2 linked regions of the Ovis aries genome follow. The protein of the gene in region 1 interacts with the protein of each later gene in a biochemical or structural test. Links are inferred from orthologs where the notes say so. Each region holds a gene or a part of one and is shown in the gene's direction. Other genes may lie near its edges.

Region 1 (10,508 bases):
CTAGCTGCACCAGCTCTGATCCCTGATTCAGTAAGCAGTGGGTGACCTCCCAGAATGCATTTCACTGATGTAAATTATCATTTAACAGCCCAGTGCCCCAGCTGGGAGAGCACGTTCATCAACTGTCACTGGTGGTGAGGCGCCAACGGTAATGACACCCTTGTTCAGACATTCTTGGCAAAACTGTGGGTCTGTTTTAATATTTGGGTAATGGTGAATATACAGTTTTTTCTCTTTGTTTTGAGAAGAGCAGCTTCTGATGTGCCACAGAGCTGCACATTTCTTATTTTAATAAAACCTTACTTTCACACTCCTTGAAAGTACTGGGTAAAACAAAACAATTTTTAGTCCCATGTAGTTCTAAGAGCTGTCAAGCTTTAAGTTTTAATCTGAACCTTTTAGAGTTTATTTCTGCCTTTCAGTGTTTGTTCTCCTGATAAGTTTCCTCCATGTGTTTAGAAGACATGGATAAAATATTTTGGTTGGAGGAGAATCAAGGAAGCCCCAGAAATTGCACACACTTGTACATGTGAATTTCAGTGATGCATTCCCACTGCCGCATTTCAAAGGCTGACTCAGATGTTCTGTATCACAAGCAGGAACCAGTGACCTTTCTCTGTTGCCAGGCCCCCCAACTCACAGGTTCAAAGGTATGAGCAATGGATGTTCAGGAGGAGAACATATGAATATAATTCAGGAGGAGAGAGAAAGTATAATTAAGAAATTGAAAGGATCTAGGAAAAAATGGTGTTTGTAAGCCAAGTGTACTCTTCGTTGTAAGCAATTCCTGCTGTTCATGCTTGTGGGCAACGCATGACTGTGTGCTTCGCCAGTCTTCTCCTTGATCCCTAAACACAGGCTAGCTTATGGTTAGCTTGGTGCTGCTATGGCTGTCTGAAGAGTTTTCGTTGTTGTTTTACCTTTGTATGTTTGTTATCGCTGCTATTATTTGAGAACACCTGTAAATACATACACGATTGCTGATTTTCTGCAGGGTACTGATTTAAAGGAGCAGTCTAGTTACATTGTTAGAATTGACAGCTCAGCATGGTACCCTGGAAAATCGAAGTGGCAGTCAGCAAAAATCAGGCCAGTTTAAGGCATCGAGCCGCAGTGATTGATGTGAAGGGCGCCTGTTGGGTGGGCCAGGCTCACCCTCCCGGAGAACTGAAGAAATTCCAGATGACCTAGTGAGCTTCCTATTGTGCACTTGTCGTTTCCACGGGGATAGAGCTGCGAGGTGGATGAGATCACTTCATGAAATGGCTTTAACAGGAAGCGGGGCCAGTGAGCTTCTACCCCGTCATGCACTGCATTGGCCTCGGGACCTGCTGTGAGTGTCCTGATAGCTGATGGTGTCCAGTGACAGGATGGACTGAGCTAGGATCGTCCCGAGCCAGGCACCTGGCAGGGCAGGGTGACCCACCCAGCAGGGTCCACGCAGCCCTGCCACCAGGCGACGCTTCTTGCCTGTGCCCTCCCCCTTCCCCCAGCAGTGAGCTAAAAATAGCAGTTTGGTTTTTGTTTCTTATCTTTAAAGAGCGGATAGTAATATTTCCTAAATGTTTTATCTACTCTCATGCTTTCTGCATACCTGGTGATCTTTTGGCTCGAGTAAGCCAACCTCCTTTATGACTACATGAGAAACAGTCACATCTGGGTTTTTTTTCCCTACCCTCACCAGCCCTTGTCACCAATAGCCTTTGCTTTTCCAATTCCGTCTCCTCCATGGATTTTCCCCTCTATTATACCTTCTCCCTGTCCACCCCAACACCCAAGTGTGCCCTGTCAGCCTAGAGCAACCCTGGGACTCCCCACCCCTTCTTCCTCTGTGCTCTCACAGATGTACCTGTGGGTACACGCACATAACACGTGCACGCACACACACAGAGAAAATGGAGAGCTCGTATACATATTACTTAATCGACTTGATACTCACTTGGGTCATTTCCCTGGGACATACTGGTTATTACATAATACTGGTTACATTGAGATGCTGGGATGTGAATGCACCAGAGTCCCGTGTTTCCCGAAAAGATGAGCCCTCGGCTGCCTCCCCTTGGCAGCTGCTTGTCCCGCGGCCTCACCCGTCCTGGTGTTGCTCTCTCTCCGTGCAGGGCTTTCACGTCTCTGTTACGATCAGCACGCCCCAGTTCTCACCTGCGGACCCACAGCTCTGACACGTGACAAGTGAATACACAGTGGTGTCACTGTCTAGCTGGCTAAGCCAGAGTCCACTCTATGAGAGGAAATGAAAAGGGATAGCACAGTTTGGGGGGGTTGCTGTCTATCCCCTTAATATTCCACTGAGGTTAGAGTGTGGCAGGGTTTGAGCAAATCTTGAAGATATGTGATAGCGCCAAGCTGTTTATCATCTTTAAAAGCGTTTTGAAAAAATAAAAAAAATAAAAGCGTTTTGAAACTTTTACAGCTTCAGCATTATTGAGCGCTTCATTTTAATGAACTCAATGGAGCTACCCAGAAGCTGTGGTCAAATGGCTCCTTGACATTGTGAAAGACAACAGTAGATGCAGACGGAGAGCTGTGAACTTCTGGCTTCAGCTGACCAGCTGTGTTTCAGTTGGCTCCCCGTTAACTGTTTCTTGAGGTGGCATGGGATGCACGTGTGCAGGAGCAGTACAGACACCTGCCCACGCGCACACACACAAATGCACGCACACGTGCACACACACATACATGCACACGTACCCACACACATGCACACACACCACAGTGTACACACGTATGTGCACATATACTGCAGGAGAGTCTGACATTGGCTCCAGGCTAACACTGCCACAGTCTCTTCATGGACACTGAGCCCCGCTCCTCCCCAGCTGCGGGATGCGTTGTTTTGAGTCACAGATGGAGTTGTCCGCACAGGTAGTTCTTCAGGGTCATTTGGAAAGAAACCTGTAAAGAACCGTTTTAATAACACCATCTTGCATCAGTGGAACTAGATTATACGTTGCCAAGTCATTTCTCCATAGAAGGTAGGATGCACATTTGACTCAAATGCCATGTTCTATACGACACTCCTGCTGCTGCTGCTAAGTCGCTTCAGTCATGTCCGACTCTGTGCGACCCCATAGACGGCAGCCCACCAGGCTCCCCCGTCCCCGGGATTCTCTAGGCAAGAACACTGGAGTGGGTTGCCATTTCCTTCTCTAATGCATGAAAGTGAAAAGTGAAAGTGAAGTTGCTCAGTCGTGTCCGACTCTTAGCAACCCCATGGGCTGCAGCCTACCAGGCTCCTCCGTCCATGGGATTTTCCAGGCAAGAGTACTGGAGTGGGGTGCCATCGCCTTATCCGCTAGGACACTCCTAGTTTTCCATAAACTGATTAGTCCTATTAACTGTGGCTCTATGAAAGTAATCTGGTTGCTGGACGACTCTGCTGGAAGTCTCCCAGCTTTAGACCTCAGTCCTGAGATTATCCATGACACATCCCAGTTATTTTTGTTTATTAGCCTCCCCATAAACGTCCTTTCCAGGGATACCATAACTGTAAAACTATCCTTAAGGTTTCCAGAATGGAGTTTTGTGAAGGCTTATCTAATTGCCTCTCCCCCAAAAAATAACTTGAAGAGGAGGAAAGCAGCAAATTCCATTGGTATTCCATTCAGCCAAAACACATTTGTTCCTCATGTAAACAACAGTAGGTCAAGGCTTGATAGCATGTATTTAGCCAAAAATACTAATTGGCCACTAACTTTTAGGTTGCAACTCGGGTTCCACTTTAGGTCAGCAGAGTCCATTGCCATAGCGTCCAGATAAAAAGTAGCCTGGAAATAGCTCTTTTATGTTGGTGCCACAGCAAGAGGAGGAGGGCAGAAAGAGCTTTCAGCCATAGACAGGTTCATCTGTCTTTAATACAGAAGGATCAAGCCTGTGTGCTGGTGTTTCTTCCACTCTTGTTGTATCCCTGCACCTCAGTTCAGGATGCTACATTGTCAGAGTCTTGAAATTACCGTTATGGGGCCTTGGGGACTTTATCTGGAATAACATCAAGAAATAGTTGCTGAGGTTTTAGCACAAAGTTGTGCAGATGCGCTTGCCCTGCTGGGTTAATGTGTTTTAGAAATAAGTATGAAGGCAGTCACTTCATGGTCTCAGTTTCTCGTGGTTTTTTTGGAGTGTGCTGTTGAACTCATGAAGTAGGATATTAAGCCTCATTGCCTGCGGTCCCCAGATTCCACAGCAGCCTCCCTGATCATGCTTTTCAGTTCGAGGTCTCGCAGTGGACTGGGGGACCCTCTTTGCCAGGAGGCACTGTTGGTAGTGAACACGAAAGATGGGATGGACATGGGGAGAAGCCCGGCTGAGAGGTTAACATCAACCTCATCAAGAAAATACACCATATGTATGCCCGTGGCTGATTCATGTTGGTGTTTGGCAGAAACCAACGGAATTCTGCAAAGCAATTATCCTTCAATTAAAAAAGTAAATTTTAAACAAAAAGAAAATATACCTGGTGAAACATCTGGAGGTTCAGAAGATCCTAATTAGGGAAGATGGGCCCTAAAGGAAGTGGCTCCCTTCTGTAACCACACGTAAGAGATTACTCCTGAATTTAGGCCTCTTGTTTCTTTTACACTCTTGTCAAGAGCCATATCTGCCAAGGCTTCTTGTTCTTGAGCAGCACCCCTACCCCAGTTGCAGGTCTTGTATGCAGCATCCGTACCTGCAGGACTTCCTGGGCAGCACCGACCTCAAACATCCTTCTCTTGGCCTCCATGAGTCATGGAGACATCCTGCTTTCCCAGTATTTCTCCAACCCACCTGCATTTCTCAGACTGCTTCTTACAAGCCGAAAGATCACAGGACTGCTTTAGCGATTTCCTTTGGCGCATCCAAATCTAGTCCCTCCGTGCTGGACATTCTCAGCCCGGAAGCTGCCTGCCTTCCATTCACCCTGTAAAGAGACAAATCCCACATGGGAAGATGGGGGAAATATAGCCTCAGCAGTCAGGTTCCTTGGGAGTTCTGGCCTGCCTCCTCCTGGGCTGGGGCAGCTGAGATGTTCTGGTCGGTCACTAGTGTAAAGGGGGATCTCATAAAAAACAGATTCTGTGTCTCACCCACTCCCCGACCCTGAAATTTACATAGTATAAGGGCCCTAAGGTGTTGAAGAATTTAGGGATAAGCTAGGAGAACATTCCTGTGGCAGCTAGATTGAGGAAGAGATACTTAGAGCATCCCTCTCAGAGACAATAACGTTTGACAGTTTGAAACATCTTTTGAGCTCTATGTGGCTTGAAGTAAAATTTGGTAACCAAACCAAACTGGCATCGTCTTCTCCTTCCTTATGATCACATTGGCAGCAGCCCTCTACGTTGGAGGCTGCGTGGCCTAGAACTGAGTCCTGTGAGGTTTTGACCCTTTAGCTTGGGTGGGGGTTCATTTCACACTAGGTTTAAAGCTGTTGGAAACCTGTTGCTGTTTTCTGGACAGTCGTGTTTCCAGTACCACTAGAATTAACTCACTTTGTCTAGCAGAGCTAATCCTCGGGGTATGTATGACTTTATGAAGCTGATCGAAAAGCAAATGCAGGATACTCAGTAATGATGATTTCTTACACAAACAGCCATCAGTGGCCTATGTACACACCACGCCGGGCCTGCCCTCGGGCTGGGAAGAGAGGAAAGATGCTAAGGGACGCACATACTATGTCAATCATAACAATCGAACCACAACTTGGACTCGGCCTATCGTGCAGGTATGCGGTTTGCCCTGCAGCTTCGGTCACAGGCACTCAGAAGCCAAAACGTCCACGACCCCTGCGTTCCCGAGTTTTAGGTACCGTTCTGAGGAACCCATGTCAAAAGAAGATCTTTTCTTGCAAATGCATTACTTTAAACATAAGATTTTCCTAAGAAAGAATTCAGTCCCTGGCTCAGTCTCTCCCTAGAGGGTCCATTTTATTAAAAAATATATAAATATATATGACCCGAAAGAGATTTTCAAAGGAAGAGCCTGTTGATCCCAGCGGGTAGCGCCCCTCCAGCCCAGGTTTTCTCTGAGGCTGGCTTTTCTGCTGGCTCGTGATTCAGTGTTTACTTCCCCGGAGCGTGTTCCCCCATCCCTCGCCCCCGCCCCCGATGTTGCGTGGGGTCGGCTCCTGCAGGCTTCCCACAGGCCTCTCGTGGCCGCTGGCCGCGCTGTCACTGGGTCCGCACCGCGCAGGGAGCGCCTCGCACGCCGCTAACTTGTGTTTGCCTCCAACGTAGCTCGCAGAAGACGGCGCATCCGGATCCGCCACAAACAGTAACAACCACCTAATCGAGCCTCAGATCCGCCGGCCTCGTAGCCTCAGCTCGCCAACAGTAACTTTATCCGCCCCGCTGGAGGTGAGACGGCTGCCCGGCTCCCCTGACCCCTTCTCACCCGCTCTTCTCTCTCCTCCGGGGGCGCGCAGGGCGCCGCCCCCCTCTCTGGCCGTCGCTGTGTTCGTGGTGAGGGGTGTCCTCGTGCGGCCTCGCTCCATGCTTCCCATCCCTGGACTCTCGCTGATTCTCACTGTCACGGGGCCGCGGCCGCGGCGAGCCCCTGCTGGACGTGGGCGCCTCTCTTCCGAACTCGCTCCATTCTTGTGTTTCACTCCTTACTGCCTCATGAGACGCGCATAGCAGCTCTTTCCAATCCCAGTGCTTCCGCTGAGTTTTTACACACAGCTGTCGCTTCGGTCATTCTTCCTCCCTCCCTACTGTAGGGTCTTCCATCGTGTGGGCCTCGTGTTTCTGACGCGTGTCTGCATCTCTGAGTCACCGCTGGGCATCCGCTTTGCGCCCTCCCGTTTCTGTGGTCTTAGCAACATCCCTTAATATCACAAAGGCCGGAGGCTAAACCTTTGATGCTGTAAACGTGACGGGCATCTTAAAGACGGCTGCGGGCTGCTCTGTGCCCGGGTTTAGGAGGTTGAGGAGTGGCAAGGGGACATGCCTCCTCCAGGCTGGGATGTGGGTGTCCTGGTTAACAATTGTGCCGTCCCAGGTGCCTGTCTCCATTGATAGAGCTTTTTCTTTTTCTGCTCCAGAAATTGCCAGTCCGTCTCCATTAGACTGTGAGCTCATTAAGAGCAGGGCCACGTTTTTCTCCACCTTCTGTAAAATCCCCATCCATAATGGTTACTACCAGAAAATATTTGGGGTTGTGTACTGAGCAGCTATCAAGGGAGGGTGGTTATACTTACTTAATATTGTTGTGTATTGAACCAATAGGGAAACATCACAGTTAGATTGTTTTTTAAAGTAAGCAGATGACAGAAGCAGGTTTCTTTTAGGCGTTTCCCCATGGTCCCATTTCAGAGAGAGGAGTGGTCCCTGACCCCCGGGGACGTGTTGACCACTCTGAACCAGCACGTGTCGAGAGTTCTAATGCTCATTATTATTCCTTAGGGCGCCAAGGACTCACCCGTACGTCGGGCTGTGAAAGATACCCTTTCCAACCCACAGTCCCCACAGCCATCACCTTACAACTCCCCCAAACCACAACACAAAGTCACACAGAGCTTCTTGCCGCCCGGCTGGGAGATGAGGATAGCGCCCAACGGCCGGCCCTTCTTCATTGACCACAACACAAAGACCACGACATGGGTAAGGCCGCTGCTTTGTTTGGCTCCACTTTCACCCCGAGGCCTGGCATCTGTCCCTGACTCAGTATCCATGGTGCTTGCTGAGAAATTTCCTGACACTATAGTATATCCGCTGAGGGTCTCCTGAGCCTTCGCCTCGACTCTGCACATAGGGGCTGGTGGGAGTGGGTGATTTACTGGCACGGACTCACAGCCACCCTGGGTATTGATGCCTTTTCCTCAGAGCACTCATGGGAAGCTCCAGTGTTGACAGTTTACCGTATTTTGGAAGAAAAGGTAGTGCTCCATATTGCTGGAATTTTGGTATTGCCGCTTCCTGTCTTAGGCTGCTGTGACTTTATTAGGAATTCCAGTCTTTTTACAAAGAATTTCTCTGTGTCACTTCTTTTTTTTGCATTTGTGTTGCCATTACCCATCTTTATTTTGATTTGATGCGTCCTTTTGGTGTTTACAGTTGGCATCAGATATGTATTTTACACTCCAGTGCTACATCACACTCTTTAATCGTGGGTTAGGAGATTAAATTTGTAAATTTGATACCTCTTTTTTGTGATCATCTTGTCGCAGGGTTTTTTCCTTAATAACAGTACTCGTCCTCGTACCCCTGAATCACGCACGAGGGGGAGAGAGTATGTATGCTGTGTTAACTTTGAGAAAAATGAGATTAATGAAAAGGACGTGTGCGTATCTTTACATTCCCCTGTTCGCTCTTCCTTCGTTCAGGGCAGTCAGCGGCGGCTCATTGGAGGTAGCATAGAGTTCTTTTTAAAGTCAGTGCTGTTTTTCTGCTGTTTCATCTCTAGGCCAATAGTTAACCTGAAGTGGGTCCTCAGGTTTCCGACTGTTTCTGATGTTCCCGAAGGTTTGTTTTCCTTCCTGCCCCTTATATCCCCAGCTGACTACCCAGGTATGGAGTTGGGCTCCATTCTTTTTATGTGCTGCACTGCTGTTTAGAACCGATGATTACATGAAATCCGGTTGAGTTTTGGTGATTGTCACTGGCCCTGGCTCTTTGGTCTTGGACCAAGAGTCAACACATGCTTTAAATTCCCACTTCTAGTGAAGACACCAAATATACCCAGTTGCTAGAACAGCAGTATCATGTGAAGGAAGAGACCTGGACCCAAGTGACCTGGACTGTCATTTACACTCTGCCCATGGCACGATGGTAATTCAGTCCCTTGAGAACTGGATTAGGCTCTCTCAGATCTCACGGATCACAGTGCAGTGTGTCTTCACGAGGACATTCTTAGCACTCGGGGCAGGGCTGTGCTTGTTGCTGCGGGGCATTCGCCATCCTCGGCCCCTGCCGCCGGATCCCAGCACACTGAAAAGCTCGGGAGCCCCCAGGCATTTCCCAACACCCCTTAGTGAGAACCACTCCAATTTTGAAGTAAAGGTATAACCTGCAGAGAGAATTTAAAATTCAGATCTGGTAGCATTCATTTGGTAAACTCATCACTACTTCTCAGACGTATAATAAGTAACAGTTTCATCTGAAGATAATATTACGGGTTTGTGGCAACAAGAGAGTAATAGATAGGAAGCTCCTTGGAAAACAGAGTGACAGAGGTTGGTTTCAAAGTCTTTTTTTAACCCCCCTCAGGGATGTAGAACCTGTAGCAGTCCTACTACTGAAGCCATTTCTACTTGCTACAGCATTGCTGGGATTTCAGTTCCTCAGCCAGAAATGGGAGCTCCAGAAGTAGGGGGTAAATATTGTGAAAGTAGATGGATTAGTATATGGAGCCACTGTGGCTTGCCAACATAAGCTATGATTTTAGTAATTTGAACTAGCTTAGTAATCAAATCCCCTAACCTTTTCACAGCCTTTCACGCCACAACTGCAGTGTAATCGCAGCTGGGCAGGTTTTCTTTTAAATAGCACCCGCTTTATTTATTGCCTGCATTGTTGCTGAATGAAACCCAGTTTTTTATTTCCCATTGCCCCTTTCGACCAGATACTCGTGACTCACTGATTTTCAAATTTCAATTTGTTAAAACAATGTTTTGTCACGGGTGCTGTCATGAAAATCCTGAAGGGAGCAACAAAGAGTTCCACCAGCCGTCAACACCCTTCCCCGCTCAGCGTGGAGGCCCTGACACAGCTGCGTTATCCCTGCTAAACAAAGGCCCATCCGCAGCGCTGGCTGCAGAGCACATGCTCTGAACACGTGTTTATTCTGACAAAAGGTGGAGGGATGGGGAGAAACAAGAAGATAACTTTCAGCTTAAAACCTGTGTTGAGTTACTTTGGGGGTTGCTTTGTTTTTGTTTGTTTGTTTGTTTTTTAAAGAAAGAACAGCTATTCTTAGATTTGAGCATTGTCATAAAAGAAAGAAAAACCGGTCAGACAGGTCAAGAGGGATGAAAACGGACATCTTCCCTCTGCACCCCGTGTGCTCTCGAGCCCTGCACAAACCAGAAGCTTCTCCTTTGTATACATTGATAGAAGAACCTTCCTTTTGCTTCCCCAGGCTGGTACTAGTGGTAAAGAATCCACTTGCCAATGCAGGAGATGTGGGTTCGATCGCTGCTGGGTCAGGAAGATCCCCTGGAGAAGGAAATGGCAACTGGCCCCAGTATTCTTGCCTGGAGAATCCCATGGACTGAGGAGCCTGGTGGGCTACAGTCCATAGGGTCGCAGAGTCTGACACACACACACGCACGCACGCACGCGCACACACCCCCCCCCCCTTTGAGTCTGTTTATAAAACACAGCCCTTTGTACTCACGAATCACAGAGGCAGGATGCCAGCCTGCTGTCGGTAATCAAGTCAGACATGTCAAATGCGCATCTCTTGGCCCCCACAGGGGTGGGTTGGCTGTGGATCTCGGGGAGACCCCTAGGGAGGTGAGAAGAGATTACACGAGGCTTCAGTGTGTCTATTGCTTCTGCTGAAGAAGCAGCTCA
Region 2 (10,608 bases), on another chromosome or scaffold:
CTGCATATGTACCAGACTACGGCTGGAGTTTTAAGCAAAGGATCCAGTCATCTGGGTCAAATAGGAATGTAAAACATTTCTCATCATGTGGTCTATTGGTGCCTTTTTCTCCTTAGGGACGTTTGTCACTAGACAGATCTTTTGTTGTTTATCATTTTTTATGTTTTCCAGGTTGCTTTGGGGAAAAAAAAGAATTCACATTCCATTTAGCAACTAAGCGTATGACACACAAAAAATTTGATCTATGGAAGGTGAACTTTCTAAAAAGTACTACAGCAGTATACCTGTCTTACTTCAGTAAAACCAAAAATGTAGAGTTAGGTATTATTTTACAAGGCCTTTTTATTAATACATATTATTTGATACTTTTGCTGCAACATGGATGGACCTAGAAATTAACATATTAAGTAAAGAAAGTCAGAAAGAGAAAGAGAGATGTCATATGATATCAATTATATGTGAAATCTAAACAAAAAAAGATAGAAATGCACTTATACACAAAATAGAAACAGACTCACAGACATAGAAAACAAACTTATGGTTACCAAAGGAGAAAGCAGGAGAAGGATAAATTAGGAGTTTGGGATTAGAATATACACACTTTTATATATAAAATGGATAACCAACAAAGACTTACTGTATAGCACAGGGAACTATATTCATTGTCTTGCAATAGCCTATAATGGAACAGAATATGAAAAAGTACATGTGTATATATGCATAGCTGAATCACTTTGCTGTACACCGGAAACTAACATAACATTGTAAATCAACTATCTATTAATGAAATTTACTTTTTGCATTGATACTGACAACTGCCTTATGAGTTAGACAGAATGCATTTTGTTATTATTTTACAGATGAGGAAACTGAGGTTCAGTGAATTGAAGGCACTTATTCAAGGTCATACAATTAGGGGAGGGAGATTAGTAACCAGATCTTCCAAATCAACATAGCCTCGCTCCATGTCTTTTATATATTGGTAGTCAGTCCTACCTATTTGCTTTATTTTATTCTTTGTGTTATAGTCTAAACATTATACTTGAAAGGAAAGGTAAATATATTCCAAAAAGCAAATAGAGGATTAAGAGATTCTTTTCAACGTGAGAGTTTTTTTAATAAAAGAGATGTGTCATCCCAGGGTCTCAAAGTCATTGAATCTTAAAGAACTGGGAAGAACTAAGGGTCATTGGGTCTAATTAGAGCTCAGCACATTAATAATGATGGGAGTTTACTTTATGGTTTAAGAGTTTCAGAAATATTTAACAGTTCTTACTAATAGCCTGGTGACAGAGTCACTGATGTTAGCTTTACACAGTGTTTTTGTTTTTTTCAATTCATTAAAAAAGCATTCATTGAGTGCCTAGCATGGTCCAGGCACTATACTGTATGCTGAAGCTACAGAAATGAATGAGCATGTCCAATAGAAAAAAAAAAAAAAAGTAAGAAAATAAATTAATTAAGTTGAAACAAGTTTAATATGTAAGCAGGATGTTGTGAGAGTCCAGGAGTTATTTACTGTTCTACCATAAGAGGTAGTCTATGGTCCTTTGTAGATACTAATGAGCTTGGCAAAAGAGAAATTTATAAAGAGCAGTCACTCTGAGCCTACCTGCAGGCAGTTTTATTTATGAAAAGAGAAGTAATAGATGAGAGATGCTTGCTTTTCCCTGAGAAGCCAACACAGTACAGTTAAACATATTGATCTATTATTACAGTGATCAAAATATCATCTCAAATAATGGGCTACCTGATCTGGTCAGAACCCCTGCCCTTTGCTTCTCCTTCTGACCAGGGAGAAAGAGACCAACCTCTGACCAAACTCCACTTGTTCTTTAAAGTGAGCTGAACTAACTTTGAGGAAAACTTCCCAGGCCTTCCTCTCTAAACCACTCAGCCACCCCTTCAAACCAAGGTGAAGTTAACACTTGTACATATAGAATCATATACAATATATATCATTCTTATTATATAACATATAAAGGCAGAAAGAGAAGATGGCAACAGGGGATAAAATGGTTGGATGGCATCACTGATTCAATGGACATGAACTTGGGTAAACTCTGAGAGATGGTGAGGGACAGGGAGGCCTGGTGTGCTGCAGTCCATGGGGTCACAAAGTGCCAGACACGACTTGGTGACTGAAAAACAACAGTATATATTGTATATGTTATTTCTGAAATACACAATATATCATTCTTTCAATGATATGTGTTTCTTTAGTAGGCTGTGACTTCATTAGGAACATAAACTATTGATATTTGCATTCACAGGGCCTACCACAGGATATAACATAGACTCAGTGAAGTGTAGCAGCTCCAAGGGATGGCATATAGCGGTGAGGAGGGATAGGATTTAGCTTTATCCTCACCTCCTCCTCTATGGTTTCTATTAACCTTCCCTTCTTCACTCCAAATAAATGTACAGTGCACTGAAAACCGGTATGTGTGCTATATCAGTGTGGAATCAAGGCAAAGTCCCTAGTTCCCACTTTCAATAGGATGCTTAGAGAGGCCTTCTTTTGCATATTATTCAAATTCAATTACTATCTCTTAAAATACTTTTAAGGAAGGGGCAGTATGAGAAACAGGAAAGAATTTGAATGGCCATGATTTATTTTAATCAGGTTTATTGAACTGTAATTTACATAGAGTAAAATTTTCCTCCCTCATATATAAAGTCTGATAAATTTTGACAAATGCATATAATCACATAATCCACCCCATCATCATGATAAAGGACATTTCTACCTGCCTCAATAATTCTCTTTGGGGAGTTCCCTGGTTGCTTAGCGGTTAGGATTTTGTGCTTTCACTGCCATGGCCTGGGTTTAGTCCCTGGTGGGGGAACTGAGGTCCTACAAACCGCCGAATGGGGACAAAAAACATTCTCTTCAAACTACCAGAGTTTTAATGAACTCTTTAGAAGAACCCCAAAAGCTATCATTGCTGGAGTTTAAATAACATACTCCTTGCATCTCGGACAACTTAACATATCTCTCCAAAATAAAGCATTTATTTTTCTTCAGTTATAATACCATCATGTGGTTGTGCTACATTTTCTTTTGGAAATCTCAAGGCATTTAGCTAACAAGATTTCATTGTTATTTCCCACCAAACCTGGTCCAGCTCTAAAGATGTATATTCCAATTCAATGAAATCAGTGCATCTCTTTCCCAGTTAACCTTGCCGCAGACTGTCTTATAAATATGTTAACAATGTTAGGCATATCGCTTTTAATGAGCTGGCCATTCATTTTATCAAGTGGACATTGTGCCTTTCCCTCATTTATTAACTATATTCCTTTGTGGTGACATTGCAAAGGCTCTACATCCTGGGGACACTTGCTCCGTTTGGGCATATAGATACATGGAATGACACAGCACACAAGTGAATGACTAAGTCCATAAACGAGTGAATGAAAGAGTGAGTAACTGTCTCCATTTCATGGATGAGGCACCTTCTGAGAGGCACCGTGAGGTCAGTCGACTGGCAGAAAGCCACACACTGATGTCGTAGCAGTGCCCAATTGGATGCCAAGATTGTTTTCTTTGCTGTCTCTATTTAGCTATCAACTTTGTTAAAAATCCCCATAAAATATCGACAGGAAAAAGTAAACATGGAAAAATTGGCCACACACAAACTACATGGCTCTTCAAAACGAATTTAATGTGCAAAGAATAACATGAGTAAAAAAATGAGGAAGGTTGGATTTTCACTTGATGGGGAAAAAAACGCTTTCCCCTCTTATTCATTTTGAGTCATCCTTTCTGCTAAATGGATTCAGCGACACTTTTTGGTAATGCCCTTTGTATTTTTTGCATAAGACACTTTGGATATATGCCCATTGTGTTCTTTTTTAAAACAGACTCCTTTAGTGGAAAATACACACACACACACAAATGTTCACAGTTGCCTATTATATTATGACAAGTAGGAAGAGGACACTAGCAAGGTTCTACATAATGAGAGATCATCCATTGTTACACTTTATTTGTCTCCACATTTGGACAGATCGGGAATAAATTTGATTAAATTTCCATTGAGAACCGTCCCCACCCCGCCCCCAGGAACATGTACCAACAGAATTTCAATGAGCACAAAATTAAAACATTCTGCATGTTATAAGAAAATCTGATTTAAAGGATCCTAACAACAAAAAGAAAAGGGAAAAAAGCTATTAAAGTAAACCTCCCGAAGGGAGTCAACTGCTTTTCAGTGCATCCCGCGCTGATGCCGACTCTCCATCCGCGCTGCTCGATATTCATGAACCGCTGTGTCTTCCAGCACTGCTTTCCCTCTCGCTCTGCTTTTCTGGAGCGGCTCTCCCTCCCCCCCCCCCCCCCCCCCCCCCCTTTCCTCTGGCTTCTGCTCTTTCTTACTCCTTCTCTCAGCTGCTTAACTACAGCTCCCACTGGAACTTGCACAATCAAAAACAGCTCTCCTCTCCGGCAGCCTCCACAAGCGCATCACCTGGAGCAGAGCGACTCTCCCAGTGCACACGCCGCAGAGCAGCCAGGTAGCTGGGGGCGCGCAGGGGGTGCCCTTCTCCTGCGGGGCAGCAGCCAGAGCCTCTCCTCGGAATCCGGGGCATCCTGGGGTCCTGTTGCGGTGATGCCTGCCTTTCGGAGCAGTGATGGAAAGAGAAGAGCCGCTGTCGGTGGAAACTGAGAGCGGAGAGAGGTTGCGGCAGCAGCCGGTGCTGCAGAATGTGTGAGTGAAAACCTAAGCCGCGCTGCATTCTCCATCCCGCTCGGTCTTCGTCAGCTAGTCCAGGAGGCAAGTCGGGAACCAGATGCATTGACCAGGTGGGGGCCACCCTGGATCTGTTAACCGTGAACTCCCCACTGTGGAAAATGGTAAACAAAGACATGAATGGATTCCCAGTCAAGAAATGCTCAGCCTTCCAATTTTTTAAGAAACGGGTAAGGACGGGTTTTGTTTGCTTCTTTTGTTTTCTGCTCTTGTCTGAAATGCCTTTGATTGCTTGCCGGAGGTAAGCCCGAGTTTCGGTGGCAAAGCCCCGAATGGAAGTCATGTGTGTCTGGTCGCAGTGGTCCAGCTGGGAAATAGACCTGTCTTGATGCAGATTTGAGGGTGAGGGCACCTAGGCAGAGTTGCTTTGGGAGGAGGGGGTTGGGCTGAGATGTCCTAAGGATGGTTTAGAGCTGGGAATGGGAATTTCCCAACCAAAGCCACAAGATTACAAACAGTTTCAAAGAGAATTAGCCTGGGTACAGTTATTGGCTAGTTAATTTGGTTGGGGACTAATTCCGTGGTGCGCTCTTGCTCTCTCTTATCTTTGAAGGCTTCAACTTTTCCCACACCTTTCATTCACTCAGTCTCAAGTACAGCTTTATCATCTTCCTGCCTCAGAAGCAGCAGCTTCCAGCTTCCCAGATTCATCTGGCCAATAACTTGCTGAGTCTCTATCTATGGTAAAAATAGCAAAGGACTAAAATGACCTTTCAGAGAACTGATGGAGTCCAGCATTTTAAATCCTCTATTTCAGGTTGCCTCAATTTTACTTGGTACACCGCCTTTCATGGGCAGTGTAAATTCAAGTGATAATATGGGGTTATGCTGCTGTATAATTTTATTTCTTAAATTCTTGTTCTTCTGTTCAGGACATTAATGGTACATTGCTTGTAAATGAGCAAAGAAAAGGGAGCAGGTTTTCCTTGTATTTCACAGTAAACTCAGTTCACTGTAATGGTCCCACTGATGGTCTGCGTAAATCTGCAAATTTATACATAAGTGAGAGGTAAGAAATGAATGATTTTTAAGCAACTGATGACTGACATTCTTGTGGAGCGTTTCTTAAGCAACAGCAGCTTCCTCCAGCCCCCAGCTGCGCTGGTCTATTTGATACCCCAGGGCAATTCCATCAAAATGATTCTCTTCATTCATTCTCGGTTCCTTCATTCAGGTCTTTCCTGTGCTGCTCTGGAAACACAGCCCTTCACTTAAACCACCAACAGAACACTGTGAACTACACACTGGGCTGGACTACGTCCTGCACCCAGTGGGCAAGCTGGGAAGGCAGGGCTGGGAACAGCATGTCAGTCCAGGTCAGAGGGCTAACACAGTTTCCCATACACCTGTGACTGAATTCCCATCAGTCGAGCAAGACCTTCCCTAAACTCCATGGGTCAAAACATATTCATTAAAACCAAAGCAAAACCCACGTTGTCCTGGCTTCTGCACCAGAGGCCTCAGCACTTGGCAAGGAGGTCTCCCGCTGGAGAAGACTCAGGTTGAATTGGAGCAAGGCAGTGCCACTTCTCAGAGTCCACCATGTTTCTTCATTTTTCCTGTAGCCAAGATATTTCTTTCCAAGGAAAAAGCACTTTGTAAAAAAAACAATTTCCAACACAGTAAACAAATGTTTTGATAATAAATAAAAAATGCCATAGCTGATAACTCAGTAAACTCTTTACTCTCATTTAATTAATTAATTAAATGTTACTGAGGGGACAGTGACGGTGATTTTTTTCGGTTGGTTGGCTTTTGATTTGTATTTATTTATTTATTTTAATACTTCTCAATCAGATATATTGAATCAACTGAGTAACTGTCAAGTAGATTTTAAGTTTTCTTTTATTTTCTTTGCTATCAAAATGTGCTATAATAACTGTTAATTTACTATCTAGTTTCTTTTTTGCTTAAAAGCAGAATTTAACAGTAGCCTTCAGTTGCTGCCTCTGTAGACCTTGCATTTTGCAAAGAACTAGCCAGGGTACTGATGTCTAACCTGAGTGCTTGCAGAGAGAAAGAACGTGAAACCAAGATATGTAGGAGACCTAAGAAACATGGGTTCTATCCCTCAGTCAGGAAGATCTCCTGGAGGAGATCCTGGCAACCCACTCCAGTATTCTTGCCTGGAGAATCCCATGGACAGAGGAGCCTGGTGGGCTACAGTCCATGGGGTCCCAAAGAGTCAGACACGACTGAAGCGATTTAGCATGCACACACGCATCCAGCCCCGCAGCTTCATCTGCCTTTGAATCTGGGTCTATCATTTTCTGGAGATAGTATCAGAAACCTCCCCTCTTGTTGTCCTTACTCTTCAAGGACAAAACAGCAGAATATGCCTTTGTGTCAAATCATGGAGGGCCCTAAGGGATAAAGTCTGATTCTTGTCCATACATAATCTTTTCTGAAAGTTCATTTCAGTTTGTACCATGACTTTGCTATAGGTTTTGCTTTTTTATTCCTTTCTTTGTTTGGGGTCTTTACACAGCTGATATTTAAGTAAATGTGTAAAACATTAAGATAATACCCAGGTAAATTCCTCTGCCTTTCTTATCCAGAGGTAAATGTTGACATCTATCTTTCCCAGTTCTTCTCTATGCATCTGTATGCACATTTATATACTAGAATGCCTTTGTTCTCAGCTAAGAATAATCCATTTTTCTTATATTCTATTGTTGAAGTTCCACAGATTTTTGCATATTTTATTTTTAACCTACTTAGACAGTCTTACAAAATGAACCTTTGTCCAATGCCCACATTAAACCATGAATAGATCTTGGAAAAAACCCATAGATTTTTTAGGGCTTACTAAAAACACGGAGGTTTGGACCCAAATTTTGAGGGCAGAAAGCTTAACTAGTGCTTCTTATGCCTCTGAGATATTTCACAAGAAGCCTAAGAAGGTCCCCAAAAGGGAAGGCAGAATGATCCACCCTGTGATTCATTTAGAAGAGTAAGTGTAGCACCATTTATTGAGAGCCTGCTATGTTCTAGAAGTTATGGGTCAAGTGCTTTATAGGTATTAGCTCATGAAATCCTCAGAGTCATCCTGTGAAATAAGAAAACATTAAATGTGCAAAGCACAGCTTAAGAGAGATTAAGCAACCAGCCCAATATCACTTAACTAAAAAGTAGCAGAGCCAAAATTTAAATTTTCCTTGACCCAAGGCCCATGTTCTTAATCCAGACTTTCTATTTTTGAATCACACTCCCACCCCCTTTTTTCTTCCATAACAGAATCTTTTTTCTCCCCAAGTAAAATCTTTATGCCATTATGCAATTTATAAAACCTACAAGGGGACTAGTCCTCAGCTGACTCTCGAAGCTTCTTTCCAACCCTCAGTCATGACTGAGGCAGCTCTGGGGAACCCAGCCTCAAGGAACACAATCTAAAGAAAGGCAGTCCTGGTGCTAGTTCCCCCAAATCCTTTGGATTTATGCTTGCCACCGCCATGTCTTAAAAGCTCAACTAAATCAGCTTAATTTCATTTAGTTGAGAATAGCTAAGCTAAACTCAGTAAGAATTCTACTTCCATTCTGTATGTGTTAATGATAAGTTAACATTAGATGCCTGCGGATTATTCTTTATTCTTAGAATCTCTGAAAAATTCCTTTAAGATAAATGGGAAAATGTCCTTATCAGTTTTATTGTCAAAATCTAAGAGCTTTAAAAGGTATAGGGTTTGCTAAAGATAATCCATTTTCATGGATTTAAAGATTTGTTCATGGTTCAGATTCTTGCATGGACTGTAGCCTGCCAGGCTCCTCTGTCTATAGAATTCTTCAGGTAAGAATATTGGAGTGGGTAGCCATTCCCTTCTTTAGGGAATCTTCCCAACCCAGAGATTGAACCTGGGTCTCCTGCATTGCAGGCAGATACTTCACCATCTGCACCACCAGGAAAGCCTGCGTTATGACTCAGAAAACACCAAAAATGAGATTATGTTCAACTTGATAACCCATTTTGGAAATTCCTTAGGTATGTAAATCAGTTCATTTCAGTCGCTCAGTCATGTCTGACTTCGACCCCACAGACTTCAGCAAGCCAGGATTCCTTATCCTTCACCAACTCCCAGAACTTGCTCAAACTCATGTCCATCAAGTCAGTAATGCCATCCAACCATCTCATCCTCTGTCATCCCCTTCTCCTCCTGCCTTCAATCCTTCCCAGCATCAAGGTATTTTTAAGACTTCTAAAGACAGAATCACATTATCTTTCATAACATTTCAGAGGATAACTAGGCAGGATGGAATTTTGGATTTGGAATATGCACCTTAGAAACTCTTACATTAACCTATTTTAAAGATGTAGAAACAGTGCTTGGCAGGTGAATCACTTACTCAACTAAAATGGGGCTAAGCCAGTCCTCACAGGTAGGATTTTCACTGCCAGATCAAGTGTCTTTATTATTATTATTATTATGCTCTCAAACTGGTTCAGTTCTTCAGGCCTCATTCATTCATTCTTTAAGAAATACAGTAGGGACAAAACCCAGTTCATCTTCCTAGTAATAACTGCCTTGTGACCACCAATTTTGACAAGACACTTCTTGTTGAACTTGTTTTGACTCAGTATATCATGATTTTGTGCATTTGAACAATCAATCTTTTGCACTGTTCTTTACTAATGACAATGTTTTATAATGACTATCGCCTATGCTTACCCTGGTGGCTCAGCGGTAAAGAATTCAAGTTCAGTGCCGAAGATGCAGGAGATCAGAATTTGATCCCTGGGTCAGGAAGATCCTCTGGAGTAGGAAATGGTAACCCACTTGAGTATTGTTTGAAAAATCTCATGGAAAGAGGAGCCTGGTGGGTTACAGTTCATGGGGTCACAGAGTCAGACACGACTGAGAGACTGACCACCACCATATTTACACAGCCCTAATATTTTTGATCACTGCTCTAAGAGGCTGAAGTATGTTATGCATTTAATTTCTCAAACATGAAAAGTCTATGGGAGATACTATTGTTATCCTAATATGGTAGATGAAGAAGTGTCGTGGGCCGAGGTAGAGGGAGTAATCCTGCATCATCCAGCTAGTTTGTGGGAGGGTCAGGAAGTGGATCAAAGCATATGGCTGCAAAGTCTCTGTCCTTCACCACTGCACATCCTATCTGTGATGCTAAACAATCCAGTGTGGTCAAAAAGAAACTTGAAGAGGTCTGATGGCCCTAGCTGCCTCCTTTCTCTAAAACTGATGGGGAATAAAGCAAAGGGTTTCAGGCTAGTTATGATGTTTCTTCTAGCGGAGCAGAGAAATGAGATCAACCTCCTCTGAAGTGGTTATTCTACACCACCGTTTCTAAAACTTCATCCCTTTATATTTTACTTCCCTTGACTGTTCTATTTGTTGCTGTTCAGTTGCTAAGTCGTGTCTGACTCTTTTTGACTCCATGGACTGCAGCACGCCAGGCTTCTGTGTCCTTCAACTCCTGAAAGCAGCTGAACTGGAATGATAATAAAAGTCCTTTTCTTATGGGAAGCTCTTTACGTCTTCTCAGGGGGCTAGCATTTACTGAATGTTTCCTAAGGGTCCAGCCTCGCTAGTGTAACACTTTACTGGTATAATCGTCACAATCACTCCATTATGCCCATTTCACAGCCAAAGAAGCTGAGTCAGAAGAGTAAGCAGTCCAAAGTCATGGTGCTGGAAGGAGGTATAGCCACAATCCAAATTCAGGCAGTCAGCTTTAGCACCACCAGTATTCCCATTCGAGCCACTGCAGTAAATGACAGTGAGGCAATCACCTCCGTAGGGATGTAAATTCCATCCAGAGAGCACTATGTGGGGTGGAGGGAAGTGGGGAGATCACGGTGGTCACAGCTGTGGTGAATGACGTCTCCCACTGG

What was found.
Region 2: of the proteins of NEDD4L (region 1) and SGK1, one has a biochemical effect on the other in vitro, tested with the Homo sapiens proteins (5 studies listed by BioGRID). The link is inferred for Ovis aries from reciprocal best matches to the Homo sapiens genes NEDD4L and SGK1.

What each region holds. Positions count from the first base shown.
Region 1 is NC_056076.1:57,809,623-57,820,130, forward strand, and holds part of NEDD4L (E3 ubiquitin-protein ligase NEDD4-like), read left to right. Parts: intron 1-88; coding exon 89-148; intron 149-5,587; coding exon 5,588-5,719; intron 5,720-6,230; coding exon 6,231-6,350; intron 6,351-7,397; coding exon 7,398-7,595; intron 7,596-10,508. UniProt on the Homo sapiens protein: E3 ubiquitin-protein ligase that mediates the polyubiquitination of lysine and cysteine residues on target proteins and is thereby implicated in the regulation of various signaling pathways including autophagy, innate immunity or DNA repair.
Region 2 is NC_056061.1:59,680,059-59,690,666, reverse strand, and holds the start of SGK1 (serine/threonine-protein kinase Sgk1), read left to right. Parts: upstream 1-4,426; 5' UTR 4,427-4,855; coding exon 4,856-4,924; intron 4,925-10,608. UniProt on the Homo sapiens protein: Serine/threonine-protein kinase which is involved in the regulation of a wide variety of ion channels, membrane transporters, cellular enzymes, transcription factors, neuronal excitability, cell growth, proliferation, survival, migration and apoptosis.